Regions from separate parts of the Mus musculus genome. Here regions 1 and 3 are each reported to be linked to region 2. The links are microRNA targets in miRTarBase. Many come from high-throughput screens and were not tested one by one. Region 2 holds a microRNA gene; each other region holds the end of a gene's coding sequence.

The links. The annotated mature microRNA mmu-miR-367-3p reads AAUUGCACUUUAGCAAUGGUGA and lies in region 2 at 1,939-1,960, shown strand. An mRNA with a match to its seed (bases 2 to 7 or 8) in the 3' UTR can be bound and repressed. Matches are read on the target gene's strand: a 7mer-m8 pairs with bases 2 to 8, a 7mer-A1 pairs with bases 2 to 7 and ends in A, and an 8mer does both.
Region 1: miRTarBase lists Irak4 as a target of mmu-miR-367-3p. Seed matches in the 3' UTR shown: 7mer-m8 at 3,703-3,709.
Region 3: miRTarBase lists Rhbdl3 as a target of mmu-miR-367-3p. Seed matches in the 3' UTR shown: 7mer-m8 at 2,624-2,630.

What each region holds. Positions count from the first base shown.
Region 1 is chr15:94,566,010-94,570,901 of GRCm38, reverse strand. Irak4 (interleukin-1 receptor-associated kinase 4) reads right to left here. Exons shown (of 12, transcript NM_029926.5): 11 at 4,005-4,163; 12 at 2,585-3,888. The coding sequence ends at 3,856. Among named protein-coding and RNA genes, the nearest start is that of Twf1, 21 kb to the left of the region's middle.
Region 2 is chr3:127,543,841-127,546,840 of GRCm38, forward strand. Mir367 (microRNA 367) reads left to right here and starts at 1,893; the gene lies at 1,893-1,967. Larp7 (La ribonucleoprotein domain family, member 7) reads right to left here. Exons shown (of 13, transcript NM_138593.2): 5 at 2,814-2,978; 6 at 2,636-2,729; 7 at 2,207-2,563; 8 at 1,986-2,130; 9 at 314-438. It overlaps Gm51018 (predicted gene, 51018), which reads left to right and starts at 1,249. Exons shown (of 2, transcript NR_146435.1): 1 at 1,249-1,306; 2 at 2,794-3,000. It overlaps Mir302b (microRNA 302b), which reads left to right and starts at 1,388; the gene lies at 1,388-1,461. It also overlaps Mir302c, Mir302a and Mir302d.
Region 3 is chr11:80,352,236-80,357,127 of GRCm38, reverse strand. It overlaps Rhbdl3 (rhomboid like 3), which reads right to left. Exons shown (of 9, transcript NM_139228.3): 9 at 1,142-3,716. The coding sequence ends at 3,445. Among named protein-coding and RNA genes, the nearest start is that of 5730455P16Rik, 23 kb to the left of the region's middle.

The sequences.
Region 1 (4,892 bases), not on the chromosome of region 2:
GGGATGGAATGGAAGCTGGGAGGAGGATTAATTGATGTCTGCTGTTGGATAATCAAGAAATAATTTTATGGCCGGTCATAATTGTCTGTGATCTCTGATTTCCTTTTCTCTTATGATTTAAACTCAGGGCCCTAATCTCCTTCGAGTTTGTTATTTCTTTAAGGTGTCAAGGACTTTAAGTTTGGCTGTTTATCAGGAAGAGTTCTGGTCTTTGGAGATGCAGAGGTGGGGAGGATATCTTGAGATAGCATTTGGCTCCTCGGGTATGTCTCTATTAAGGGGGAGTTTTATGGGTAGTGACATTCTAATGCTAGGCTGAGTTCACTCTGACTGGCCAGGGTGGGGGAGGGAGCCCTGGGCTTGCTGCAGGAGGACACAGCACAAAAATCAGCTGTCTGAAATTGTGCTTGCCCTGAGCTTGTGGGAAGATAGGAGCGTCTGTGGGAGAAGACGCAGAGGCGAAGTGTCTGTACACAACACTGAAGTCTCTTGGGTGAGACTGTTAAGAAACGGGACGATTATTCGCAGAGAGTTTGCATCAGTAATTCGGGGGTTACAACAGAACCTGTACTAGTCCCAAGGTAACCACTGAGTCATCCTTTCTTAACTCTCCCAGTCCTATCTGGTGCAATGAACAAGGCATGCAACACTGCCCCTCTCATGCCTGATTGTCTCCATAACGTCTATCCTTCCTCTACTGTCCTTAGTCCGTAGTAGTCAGGGGACCCTCAGCTGGAGAAAACTACGAATCCGTGATAGTTCCCGTGAGCCACCAATCAGAGACTGATTTCCCTCACACTGTGTCAGAGTTTATAACTTTTGTCATAAGCAGGGGTGGAGGGTTATTAGTTTCTGTGCTTCCACAACATCGGGCTGATTCCATTTGTATCCCTGTCCTACAGTTTCATGAGTGAGGCTGTGGCTGATTTCTCATTTAAAAGTATCTCCCACTTCATGGAGTTTAGTGGCACAATATAGCATTATTATGCTGGTATTGCTTCCCACTCGACCGGCAAGAAAGACGCAACAAACGGGAATCTTCCGCGGCAAAAGCTTTATTGCTTACTTCTTCAGGAAGACCCCGAACTGGGAAAATGGCGCCGCTTTTATAGCCCGCAGCGTGACGTTTCAGCACCTGATATGGCGTGACAGCTCCTGATTCGTTGCTCGCCCATCACCCCACTATTACACCCCGAAAATGGGAGTGACTAGGAGTGAGTTCACTCTCGCACCTGCGTACAAGGCTTGTTTACTAGTTAGGCACAGCGGAGGCCAGCACCATCTTATAATGGCGATTGCTCGCGGCTTGCAAGGCTCTCCACAGCGATTACTGGCAGGCAAGCACGCAATTGCTCGCAGCACGGCTCTCCACATGCTGGGTCATTCTTAAGGTCCCCATGCAACCTGGATGTTTGTTTAAGGACTGTGCCTGAGGGATATCTTCCATTGCTCCCTCCTCCTCCTCCTCCTCCTCCTCTATGTCAAGTTCTCCCTGTCAGTTCCAATATTGGGGATCCCATGGAGGACTTTAGCATACACATAATTTTTACTTTCTTTAAGTCTTCTACTCCGAGACATAGGAAATGACAAGCTAGCGTGTCCATCTTGTGTAGAGTAGAATGCACTAATAATAAACTCAGTTGTCAATAACGTGTTGGTATTGCATGAAGGACAGAAATCAACACAAGCACTTCCCTTTGGTGTCCTTGAACCGACAGTGAGCCCAGAGGTGAGTTCTCTATCTGCTGCCTTGCCTCTTCCATCATCCTGTTGTATGAGTCTGGATCGGTGTCTGCTTAAATGCTATCATCCTGCCCTAGGTCTGTATATCTATGTGTGCCCGTGTGGCTATACCTAGCAAAGGCTGAAAAACGTGGAAATCATCACATGGGGGAAGGGATGAGGAACACCTTCCAGAAATCATTAACAGAGTTTTACAACGGATTAAGTTACTGACTCCAATGGATCCCAGCTGACTCAGATATCAAACAGCTTTACACATATCACTGTTTATTGAGCAATATCCATGTGTTGACTTCAGTGGCTGCCGATGTTCATTGTATAAGATTGCTTTTAACCTATATTTGCTGTTTTCAGCAAATGATTATTGTAACACGCGAAAAGCACACACGCATTACTCTAGAGTCAGGGGCATGGGAGAACAGAGAAAAGATTAGAGCTGCTCGCTAGCTTTGGTTGGGAATCCGAGGCAAGTAAGGTTGATAACCACATTGTTCTCTTGAAGGCAGGTTAAACAGACAGACTGATCACACAGTAGGACATCAGTCTTAAGTGACCTCAATGTACATATTTAACTTGCTGTGAGGTCCAGCAAAATCCCCAGTCTTTCTTTAATGTAAGAGATTTTTATCATACTGCATTGCCACTCCACTTTTTTTTTGAGAGAGGGAGAGAGAGCGAGAAAGTGAGAGAGCTAGGGTGAGAGGGAGATACTTTGTAGCCCTAGCTGGCCTCAAATTCACAGAGATCTGCCTGGACCTGCCTCCCAAGCATTGTGACCAAACTTGTCTCTGGTTTCCTTTCTTTCTTTCTTTCTTTCTTTCTTTCTTTCTTTCTTTCTTTCTTTCTTTCTTTCATTTTACCTGCCAGTTCAGAGGATACATAGCATCTGCATCTTGTAATTCTCTGCTTAAACAGGCAGGCTGAAGAGACAGCTCAGCTCTAGTGGCAAGTCTTAGTGATGCCACAGGGTGCTTATGACCCCATCTCATATGTGCTACCTTCAAGAACTGTAGTACGGAATGGCTGATTCCATTCATTATAGAGGCATTCCTTTGTCCATTGATAGAGGAAAATGGCCTCTCCAGAACTTTCTTTACAGAGACTCATGCAGATGGAGCAGGCCTGTGGAAGTTATATGTCTTTTTACTTCAGCGGGAGCAGTACAATCAATATACAGCAAGGGGGCCTACCATGTCTACCATAAGGGAAAGGGTGGTGTCGGAATTGCCCCCTTAAATGCTCCCCCCTCAGACAGCTTGGCCTCAGTTACATGTTTTATTGCCCATTGCAGAGACAATACAAGCACACACACACACACCCTCCAAACTCACTATTGGTTCTGTTATACCCCACGTATAGTACCATGTATGTGAATTGGGGTGGGGGGGGAGGGATGACAAGCAAACATCTATTCATTCAAAATAGGACCACAATAACAGACAGAAGAATAGATTCCACTCATGTCTACATTGTTGAACCAATGAGTTTAGTTAGGGTTACAGGAGCAGTGGAGAGAGGTTCCTTACAGGAACCTAGGTGAGGAGCTATTTACAGGAGCATGAAGTTCCTATCAAAAACCAAAAGCCAGCACTAAGGCTTAAGGCAGCTAAGAGCTGGTCCAAAGCTTTACAGGAGTGGCACACACCTTTAATCCCAACACGCAGTAGGCAGAGACAGGCAGATTGCTGAGTTCAAGGCCAGCCTGGTCTACAGAGCAAGTTCCAGGACATCCAGGGCTACACAGAGACACCGTGTCTCACTCCCCCCGCCCCAAATAATCCTATTGTCTCTGTATAGCACAGTGCTGTTTTCCTGAATCTTAAGTTCACTATAGTTTGGTGATGTTGCTGTGGAACATGAGCCCCATACTAGGTGGGCGGGGCCAAGTGCTACCATGCAACTATCACTTTGGCTGCGGTGCCAACTCGTCTATTAACTAACTAACCAGTACATTGGTACATTGCACTATGCTACCATGTTAAACATAAAGCGCATTTAGGAAAACAAAAACAAATGCAAACAACAGGTAGGTGACGCAGCTCAGTGTCAAAGTGCTTTTCCGGTCTCCAGGTTCTCGAGAAGTAAAAAAAAAAAAAAAAAAGTTTATTAGTTTTAAGCAGACATCTCTTGTAGCAGCTGTTGAACCTTTCAAAAAGAAAGAGATCAAAAGAACCAGGTTAAGCCGATGTCTTGAAATGGATACTTAGTAAAGGATAAGGCACCACACCCCTCGCTGTGTAGATGGACTCGGAAGTGAATACCTTTGCAATGTCTGGCCGTCTGTTTTTCTTCTCATGCAGACACTGGCTAGCAGCAGAGTACATTGCTTCCACCGAAGCAGGGTCCGCATCGCTCATCTTCTCATCCGTGTAATCTTCAATCGTCTTCTCTTCATCTTCAATCTCTTCTTTAATATCCAGCTTGAAAACGATATTAAAACTTGGTTAAACCCTTTCAAGTTAAAGAAATCGGAAGATAAATGTAAATTATTTCGATTTATCTCAGTATTTTTTGGGGGGGCAGACTCATCAGGAGCTGTACAGGTCAGATGTTACGAAAGGAAATGCATACATAGGCACACATTTACAGATTTGCTGGCTTTATTCATATATGCGCCTGCACAGGTGCTTTATAATTCTTGCCTTTCTGGGGTGAGCTAGCTGCTCCCACTCTTGCTGGCAGCGTTTGCCAGCAGGGTCATCGGCTTCTTGATGTGTGTCTGATATTGGAATTCCACCTTGTGGATCCAGGCACCTTGTCTTTATCTACAGGGACTCAGACCTGATGAACCGAAAAGAGGGACCGGGAGATCGGCAGATGAATAAGGAGGAGATGGTGCTGTGGGTCGAACGGAAGGTTGAAAGGTGGCTCCAGAAACCTGGGTCTGTGTATGTCTGTGTCCTGGTTCCTGGAGCCCATAAATAGACCACGTGTGGAAAAAAAAAAATCTCTGTAGATCTCCGAAGCGGGAGGTCCTCCAGAGTGTAGTGCTCTGAACAGGCCGCTTCTTTGGTTTTTTCAATTGGTGGTGCTCGCAGGGAGGTTTGGGAGGCGTGGCCTTGGTGGAGGAAGTGAGTCACTGGAGGCGGACTTTGGGAACTCAAGCCCTTCCTCCATTCCCAGGTCACTCTATGCTTGGCCTGTGTGGT
Region 2 (3,000 bases):
AGTGCTCTAATATGCTCCTGCTTGCTGAACATCATCCACTAAGCCTGCAGTCTTTATTTCTCTCTCCAGGCACTCACAAGTGAGCTCGCAGGTAAGTAGAGAAGAATAAACAGACTATTAAAACCTAGTGTGTAATACAAAACTTCACATTTTTACTTTTCTTAAAACATTTTGTTTTTGGAAATGGTTCAGCTTAAAACTGAGGAAGCCACTCTATCACTGCAATAAAACTGCCCCTGAAACCATTCATAGACTAAAGCCCACTCTTCCATTACATGAGCGTCACCCTCTCCGTTCCCCACTGCACACTTACTAGGCGCTTTACAGTCTGTTTCCATTTCTGATTCCAATTTGATTTGAGATATTGTTTTTTTTAGAGAAGCCATGCTAGCTTTTTGCAGTGCCAAATACTCTTTCTTCAAATCCATCCATTCAGTCCTGAAAAACAAAAATTGAGCCATTACAGTGATAAGACGACCCAACTAGAAATCTGAAGTTGATCTAAACACAATGTTCATAGGAACTGCAAGTCTTTCTGACTTTTCTTTCTTTTAAGGCATATGTTTACATTATTTGTTAAGCCATTTGTTAAAGCTACCTAGCAAACACACAAAGGAAGTTTCTTTGTCTTAACAGGCAAGGAAAATGCTTGAGTTTCCTGGTTGCTTCTAATATTTAATTGTAAAATCACTTTTGAGTCACTTCTATTAAGTAAAATCACTAAATCAGGCAACCTGGAGAAAAAGTAAGAGACTAAAACTTAAAGATTTCTCAAATTGCTTCCAATTTGAGAGCTAACATTCCTTAGGATTTACTTGAATCAAAAGGAATTTCTAAGAAGAAAAAAACACCCCATGGAAGCAATTTATTTATTTACATACATTTAACATGTAGATGTATCTTCAAACAGCTAGGGCTCCTCCAGAGAAGCACAATGCATCTCCTGGCTCTGTGGGAGCGCTCATTGTTACCCTAATCTGTGCCATCAAACGGGCAGATAGGAGATTTTTTTTAAAGAGGAGGATATCTTGTGGTAATGGTTTTAGCAGTTAACATTGACATCTGTTTACTTCAAAAAAGGAAAAAAAAAAAAAAAATCCAGACCTACCCAGGTCCCCAGGACCTACTTTCCCCAGAGCTGATACATTAAAATAACAAAGGGTCTTGTAATGATTCTCAGAGATAGAAAGCCAAAAGGAACTCAGGAGTTAGGAGTAGTATAAATACAAGTGGTCTAAAGTCGGCGTCTTTCACCCTCCGAGGACAGAACAGGACTCTTTGGGAGGCGGTCACGAAGGTAAAGGAGGTAAAGCTTATGTCTGTAACCGGGTCACTTTACTTTCCTGTGGGTTTGCTCTTCTGTTTTAACTAGTTGCCTTGTGGGTGGGTTCCCTTCAACTTTAACATGGGAATGCTTTCTGTCTCATCGAAGAGTAAGTGCTTCCATGTTTTAGTAGAAGTGAATTCAAGAAACTCTGGAATAAGAAAGCTAGCCTTTTAATTCAGAGTCTGATGGGAGTCCCCTCTGCTTTAACATGGGGTTACCTGCTGTGTTAAACAAAAGCAAGTGCTTCCATGTTTCAGTGGGGGTGTCTTAAACTGTTCAACATTTTCTCTAAGATGCTGTAGGTTAAGGGAGTTATTGACTGGGCTTCCCACCACTTAAACGTGGTTGTACTTGCTTTAGACCTAAGAAAGTAAGTGCTTCCATGTTTTGGTGATGGTATGTTTTCCTTTATATTCATGCCTTTGTAAAGACCACTCAAGTCTGCTTAAGGGGCCTCCTTTACTTTAACATGGAGGCACTTGCTGTGCATTTAAAAATAAGTGCTTCCATGTTTGAGTGTGGTGGCTCCTACTTAATCTTCATTGTGCTGCATATAGATAGACCAAGGCCGTCACTGTTGCTAACATGCAACTCTGTTGAATAGAAATTGGAATTGCACTTTAGCAATGGTGATGGACCTGTGTCAGTGGCCACTTACTTGGACAGCACTCTCAATGGTATAACCTCCTCGCCCATCTTATGTCTCTCCTTGTGTTTCTTCTTATGCTTCCTCTTCACCTTTGAGAGTGAGTCACCTTTTCTGTCTGTCTCCTTCTCCTCCTCAGTAGAGCAGAATTCTAAGTCTAGAAAAAAGATTTCCGTAAGTCCGTTGTTGTGGTTAAACTGGTTAAAACATTTGTAACCCTACTGCCACGGTACCTCTGCTCTCCTTGGAGACCTCGGAAGCTGCTTGGCCGACGCCATCCTTCTGAGCCCTTTTCTTAGCTTTTGGCCTTGGGGGGAGGCAGTCTTCGTCCTCGGCGCTGCACCTCTCCCTCTTCCCTGCCCTGGCTTCAGGTAAGCTGGATGCTTCCACCTTGTCCCGCTTCTTCTTTTTCTTTGCAGGTTGCTTTGGAGCTTCCGGGGTTTCTGCTTCGGAGCCCTCAGAGGCCGTCCTTGGTCTCTTCGTGGCTTTACACACGCCCGAGCTGCTGCTGTCCACGGCCGACTCTTTGGCCTGCACACTCTCTTCCTTCTTTATTCTGCCTTTTTTCTTTTTCTTCTTTTTCTTCTCTTCTGTAACAAGATTTTATTATTTACAGTCATAATAGTTTATTGTTTACTTGGCCACTCTAAGTAAGCACTCACCTGCTACTCGTAAGGAAGGGATGGGCTTGTTTTTCACTGTCTTGGGAAATATACCAGGCTTTCTAGGTGCTTCTTCTGGTGGGTTGTTCAGAAACTGAAAAGATTGATTGCAGAATTTGTTACTCTTGTTAACCCTGTGCTTTTTCTTTACTTTTCAGGGTCCCACAGAAGTACGTACCTCAATGGCTTTTGCTGCTTGCTCTTTTGTTTCAAATTCCACAAAGGCAAATCCCTTAGGATCCCCAGTAGACTTGTAATGTGGAATACTTATGTAAACCACATTGCCACATTTCCCAAATACTCTCTCAATCCAGCTATGAGTAACATTTTTGGGGAGCAACTCCTGTAATAAATCATGGTATGAA
Region 3 (4,892 bases), not on the chromosome of region 2:
ACTCATATAAATAAAATAAATCTTAAAAATGTATGGTATATATAATACATAATATATATTTTACATAATAAATAATATTATGTATAGTATATTAAGATATATACACATACCATATATACATGCACACATATATATACACACATGTATGTATATATGTGTATGTGTATATATATATATATATATATATATATATATACATATATATATATATATATATATTCCTGAGTAGATGTGTTGTTGACAAAGACAAGGCCATGTCAAAGACCCCAGTGTGTCATCCCCACAGGAGCAGCAATGCCTTCCCTGGAAGAGACTTGGAGAGATGGGAAAGGTTTCCTCTGGTCTGTGTGTGAATATAGATAGTGTGCAGAGAATGTCTACCGTAATTTTGCCCCTCCACATGTTTATGGCCTGAAGACTGCGTCCCTACAGAGACTGTGTCTACGAGGTTAGCTACACTTGCCTTCCTGTTCATCTGGATACCACAACCTGAGTTGCCTGTCCAACAGTATATATAAACACTTTGAGCTCGTGGGGCAGGGCTGGGGCTTCTCCATCCACATCCACTCAATCCCAGATTTTCCATTCTTGAATCCACGTATTTGTCATTTCTTCATTCTGTGGCCAACTGTCCATCCCTAGAGCGACTTGGAGGGAGGTACTTAGAACTAGATGAATGGAAGGGAAAAATAGGCCTGAGGGGACAGGGGGCTGAGACTCCTCTCTATCTGCTGGCACCCACCTCGAAAACTGTCCGGGAAGCGACCTATGTGGGTGTTTTCTTTTTTTCTTTTCTTTCTTTTTTTTTTTTTTTTAAGATTTATTTATTTATTATATGTAAGTACATTGTAGCTGTCTTCAGACACACTAGAAGAGGACATCAGATCACATTACAGATGGTTGTGAGGCACCATGTGGTTGCTGGGATTTGAACTCAGGAAGAGCAGTCGGTTCTCTTAACCGCTGAGCCATCTCTCCAGCCCAGTGGGTGTGTTTTCATGGAAAGAACCTTCAGTGTTCACCAACCACTCTGAGAAGGTTAAGGAAGACAGTGCCAACCACCAGTGCCAGAGCCACCCACCCACCACTGCCCGTTTTCACTCTCCCCACCCACCATGAACCAGACACAGGCAAAGCAGGTAGCATGGCAGCCCTTGAGGTCACTCCCTGAATAACCAACAGCTTAAAAAAATCTTTAATGGAATCTGTGCTCAAATAATATGTTACAACAAAAATATACAGAATGTACACAATACAAAAATATCTAGAAACCAACGTCGCGGCTAGTGTTTTGATTTTCACTTAGTCCTGGGAGGGCAGCTCACTGACGGGCACTGTTTTTAAGGCAGAGGAGAGTCAACGATTTGCAGCCAGCCCTGGGAAGCACACAGCACTGGGTAAACCTCATTATCTGCAAACTGAATTGGACACTAGAGGAAGATCTGGGTTCGGTGAGCGATGCCTCCACTAATGCTCTAGGCAAGAATGGTTCACATGGAAATGCAGAATTTAAAGAGCCCGGTTAGGGAGCTTCTCCTAATTAAAAAAAAAAAAATCAAGTGATGAATGGTATCATTAAAGAGAAATTCCTCTTTTTTTGAAAGCCCGTTTTCCCTTGTCTGGTTTCCATGAGTCTTCTCCCCTTTAAATGCAAGCTAGTCTACATAGCTGCTGTTTGGGGATTCCCCAGCCTTTGAGGCCAACCTACAGCCTCCAGCATGAGGAGTGACTCCCAGCCCTGATGGGTGGCCACATTGGAGAGAGGAAGGGCTGAGGGACTCAGGAGAATGGAGATGAGCTGGGAGGTATTGCTGGGATGGTGAGAGGACCAGGAGCAGTTCTCATCCTCCTGCCTCCCTCCAATCTCAGACCTGTGGTTCCTTATCCCAGGGGCTGAAAGTCCCTATAAAGGTCACCTGCCTCACAGCCTCCACTTAGGGTCCCCAGAAGCGTCTCGTGCCAGCCTGAGTAGACTGTCTCAGAGGAGCAGAGGCACTGGGCTCTGAGTCTACAGTTACCTTGCCAAACACCTGATGTGGCATCCCAGGCTGCTGGGGTATGGACAGCACAAGGCCACGCCCCCCAATCTCACTTCCCTGTAAGAGTACTTCCAAGTCCCTGTAGATGGAGCCATCTAACCCTCAGCTGCTCTCACTGGGGACATTCCCTCACCCAAGCTTCCCCAATTCTTCTCAGAGGCTACGTTTTCCACCAAAATATATTTTACTACAGCTTCTTGTCCCACTAATTCACATGGAGAGATGGCCACAGTATCACTGTCCTGGGCTTTCTTTCATCCCAAAGACTTCCTTCTACAGGCGGCAGTACAGACACAAAAGCTACCCCCAAGAGAACCAGAAGAATACAGCTGAGAGTTTTCTCTCAAATGTCTGGTAGTGCTTTGGTCTTCCCTCTAGCTCGACAGTTTTTCCACCAGTCAGTGGTGCTCAGCAGGTGTTTGGGAGGGCAAGATGGGAAAGGGGGTGCATGATGCTAAAGGCAAGGCCACTGAGCGAGCACTGGAGAGCACACTGCTGCTACCCATTCCAGAAATCCCCTGTAGATATCCTCTTGTGTACATTGTCTCCCACTTCTTCCCTCTGCAGCTTCTGACTTGCCTGACATTGCACACACACACACACACACACACACACACACACACACACACACAAAACCCTGTCTCCACACCCAAAGAGAGAGGCACAAAGTAGGGTCAGGGCAGTAGAAAGGAAAGAAGAGACCCCACAGTCCAGATAGGGCATGGATGCAGAGCGATGGTCTGGAATGCTGACTCGTGACTACAGGCAGGAAGAAGAAACCGTCCTGGAACTCTCTTGGGGGAACCTGGGATGAAGAAAGTCATTACCTCAGCACAGGGCCCTCCCCTAGGGCAAGAAAAAGGCCTGGAGCTTATAGCATCTCCCTGCCCAGCCCTAGGAGCAATGCCATAGCACCACTGACAGGACTGGAGCCTGGCTTGCTCTGGGCTCCCCCGGATCAAAGCCATCACATCCATTGCCAGAGCACCAGACCTTGAGCTGCAAAGAGAATGTGGCCTAGCCTACAGTCACCTCTGGGCCGTGGCAAGCCTGGCTGTGGCTATCCTCAGAACTTCTCTGTGTCTCTCCAGGTGGAGACTAGGGAAGAGGGCTATTTGCTCACTCTGTGGCAGTGAGAGGGAATGCATGGGACAAGCCCAAGCCACAGGGACAGCCACTCTTACCCTGCCTCAGACCTTACCCATGACTCCATATCATCAGACCAGCCTAGAAAGATGACAGCAGCCACATCCATCTCCCCACCATCCTTTCAAAGCAACACGCACCCCCCAGCTCCAACAGTCTCCGGTTCTCCCTGCTTTCACTGAATTGGAGATGAGAAGCAGATGCAGGTACTTTCTCGGGATGCTTCTGTTTCCCCGCCCTGCCTTGGACCTCTGGTCCCTTAGGGGGCGGGTGGCAGCTTCAAGTCCAGCAGTGTGTAGGCAAAGATGTTCCAGAAGACAGCAAACAGCACGAAGATGGTGTACATGGTCACAAAGATCCACCACAGCGACTGGTCCTGCAGCCTCTGCTCGTAATTTCTGAGAACCACCACGCCCAGGGTGATGCCCACGGCCACGCCACCCAAGTGTGCCACAAAGCTTGGGTGGGGGCACGGGGGATAAGCCGATGGGTGGAAACGGAGCCATACAGCCCTTCCGAACTCCATACTCACTGCAAAGGGAGGAGACAGAGACACATCATAGCATGGTCCCGGCAGGGGCTGGGGAGAGATCCGGCACACAGGTTGGCCACCCAGCGTCCATTAACTCATTCACTGTCATGAGGCCAAGGGCAGCAATCAGGGAGACAAAACTATCTCAAGAGTCTATGGGGCTTGGCGATAAATCATCAATTAATTACACTCACAAGGCCATTTCATTGAGAGTTTCAGGAATGAGGCAAAAAAAAAACAATAGAAAAATCCAAGCTGGGCACAAGGCAGGGCATCCCCAAGAGGGCCTCTTGAGGAAATGTCAGACAGGGCGTCTCAAGAGAAGATGTTTGGCCTGTCACCTGAATGTTGAGAGGAGTTCTGCTAGGAGACCCTAAGAAAGGCACAGCTCTGTCCGAAGGCCCTGGTATCTCTGTGGTCATGCTACATTGCCGGGACATTTTTTTTTCATCTGTCCACTGGTATAATGGCTCAGCATTGGTGAGCCTGGCTGCACAGGTAGAACATGGCCAACAACTTCTGTGTGCGCCGAACATGACACTCTGTAGATTGTTTCCACGTGTTACTTAGAAACCTCCAGAAAATCCTGAGAGCCAGTACCTTTGTGCTCAGGAGAAAGGGATGGAGAGGGAATGAGGATAAAGAAGGAAGAGCGCTAAGTCTAGGCTCCACTTTCACTACGGACCAGTGCTTCCCTTTGTGAACTTCAGGGCTGGGCAATAGTGCCATCCTGTGTCCCAGTACTCAAGTCATGGTAAAAGGACAGACTGCCTGCCTGCCTGCCTGGCTTCCTTCCTTCCTTCCTTCCTTCCTTCCTTCCTTCCTTCCTTCCTTCCTCTTTCCAACATGGGGCCTTACTATGGAGTTCTAGATATCTTAAAACTCAATGTAGTCAAGGCTGTCCTTGAATTCACAGAGATCTGTCTCCCCGGTCCTGGGATTAAAGACATGGACCATAAAGTCAGGCTGAGAGTACATTTTTTTTTTTTTTTTTTTTTTTGCTTTTTAAGTTTTCATCACGTGTGCGTTGTGTGTATGCGTGTGTAGTGTGTGTGTGTGTGTATGTGTGTGTGTTGCTAAGGTCAGAATAGCACATCATAACTCCTGGAGCTGGAGCTGGAATTACAGGTCTGTGGGAGCTGCCCAGTGTGGATTCTGAAACCTGAACTTCGGTG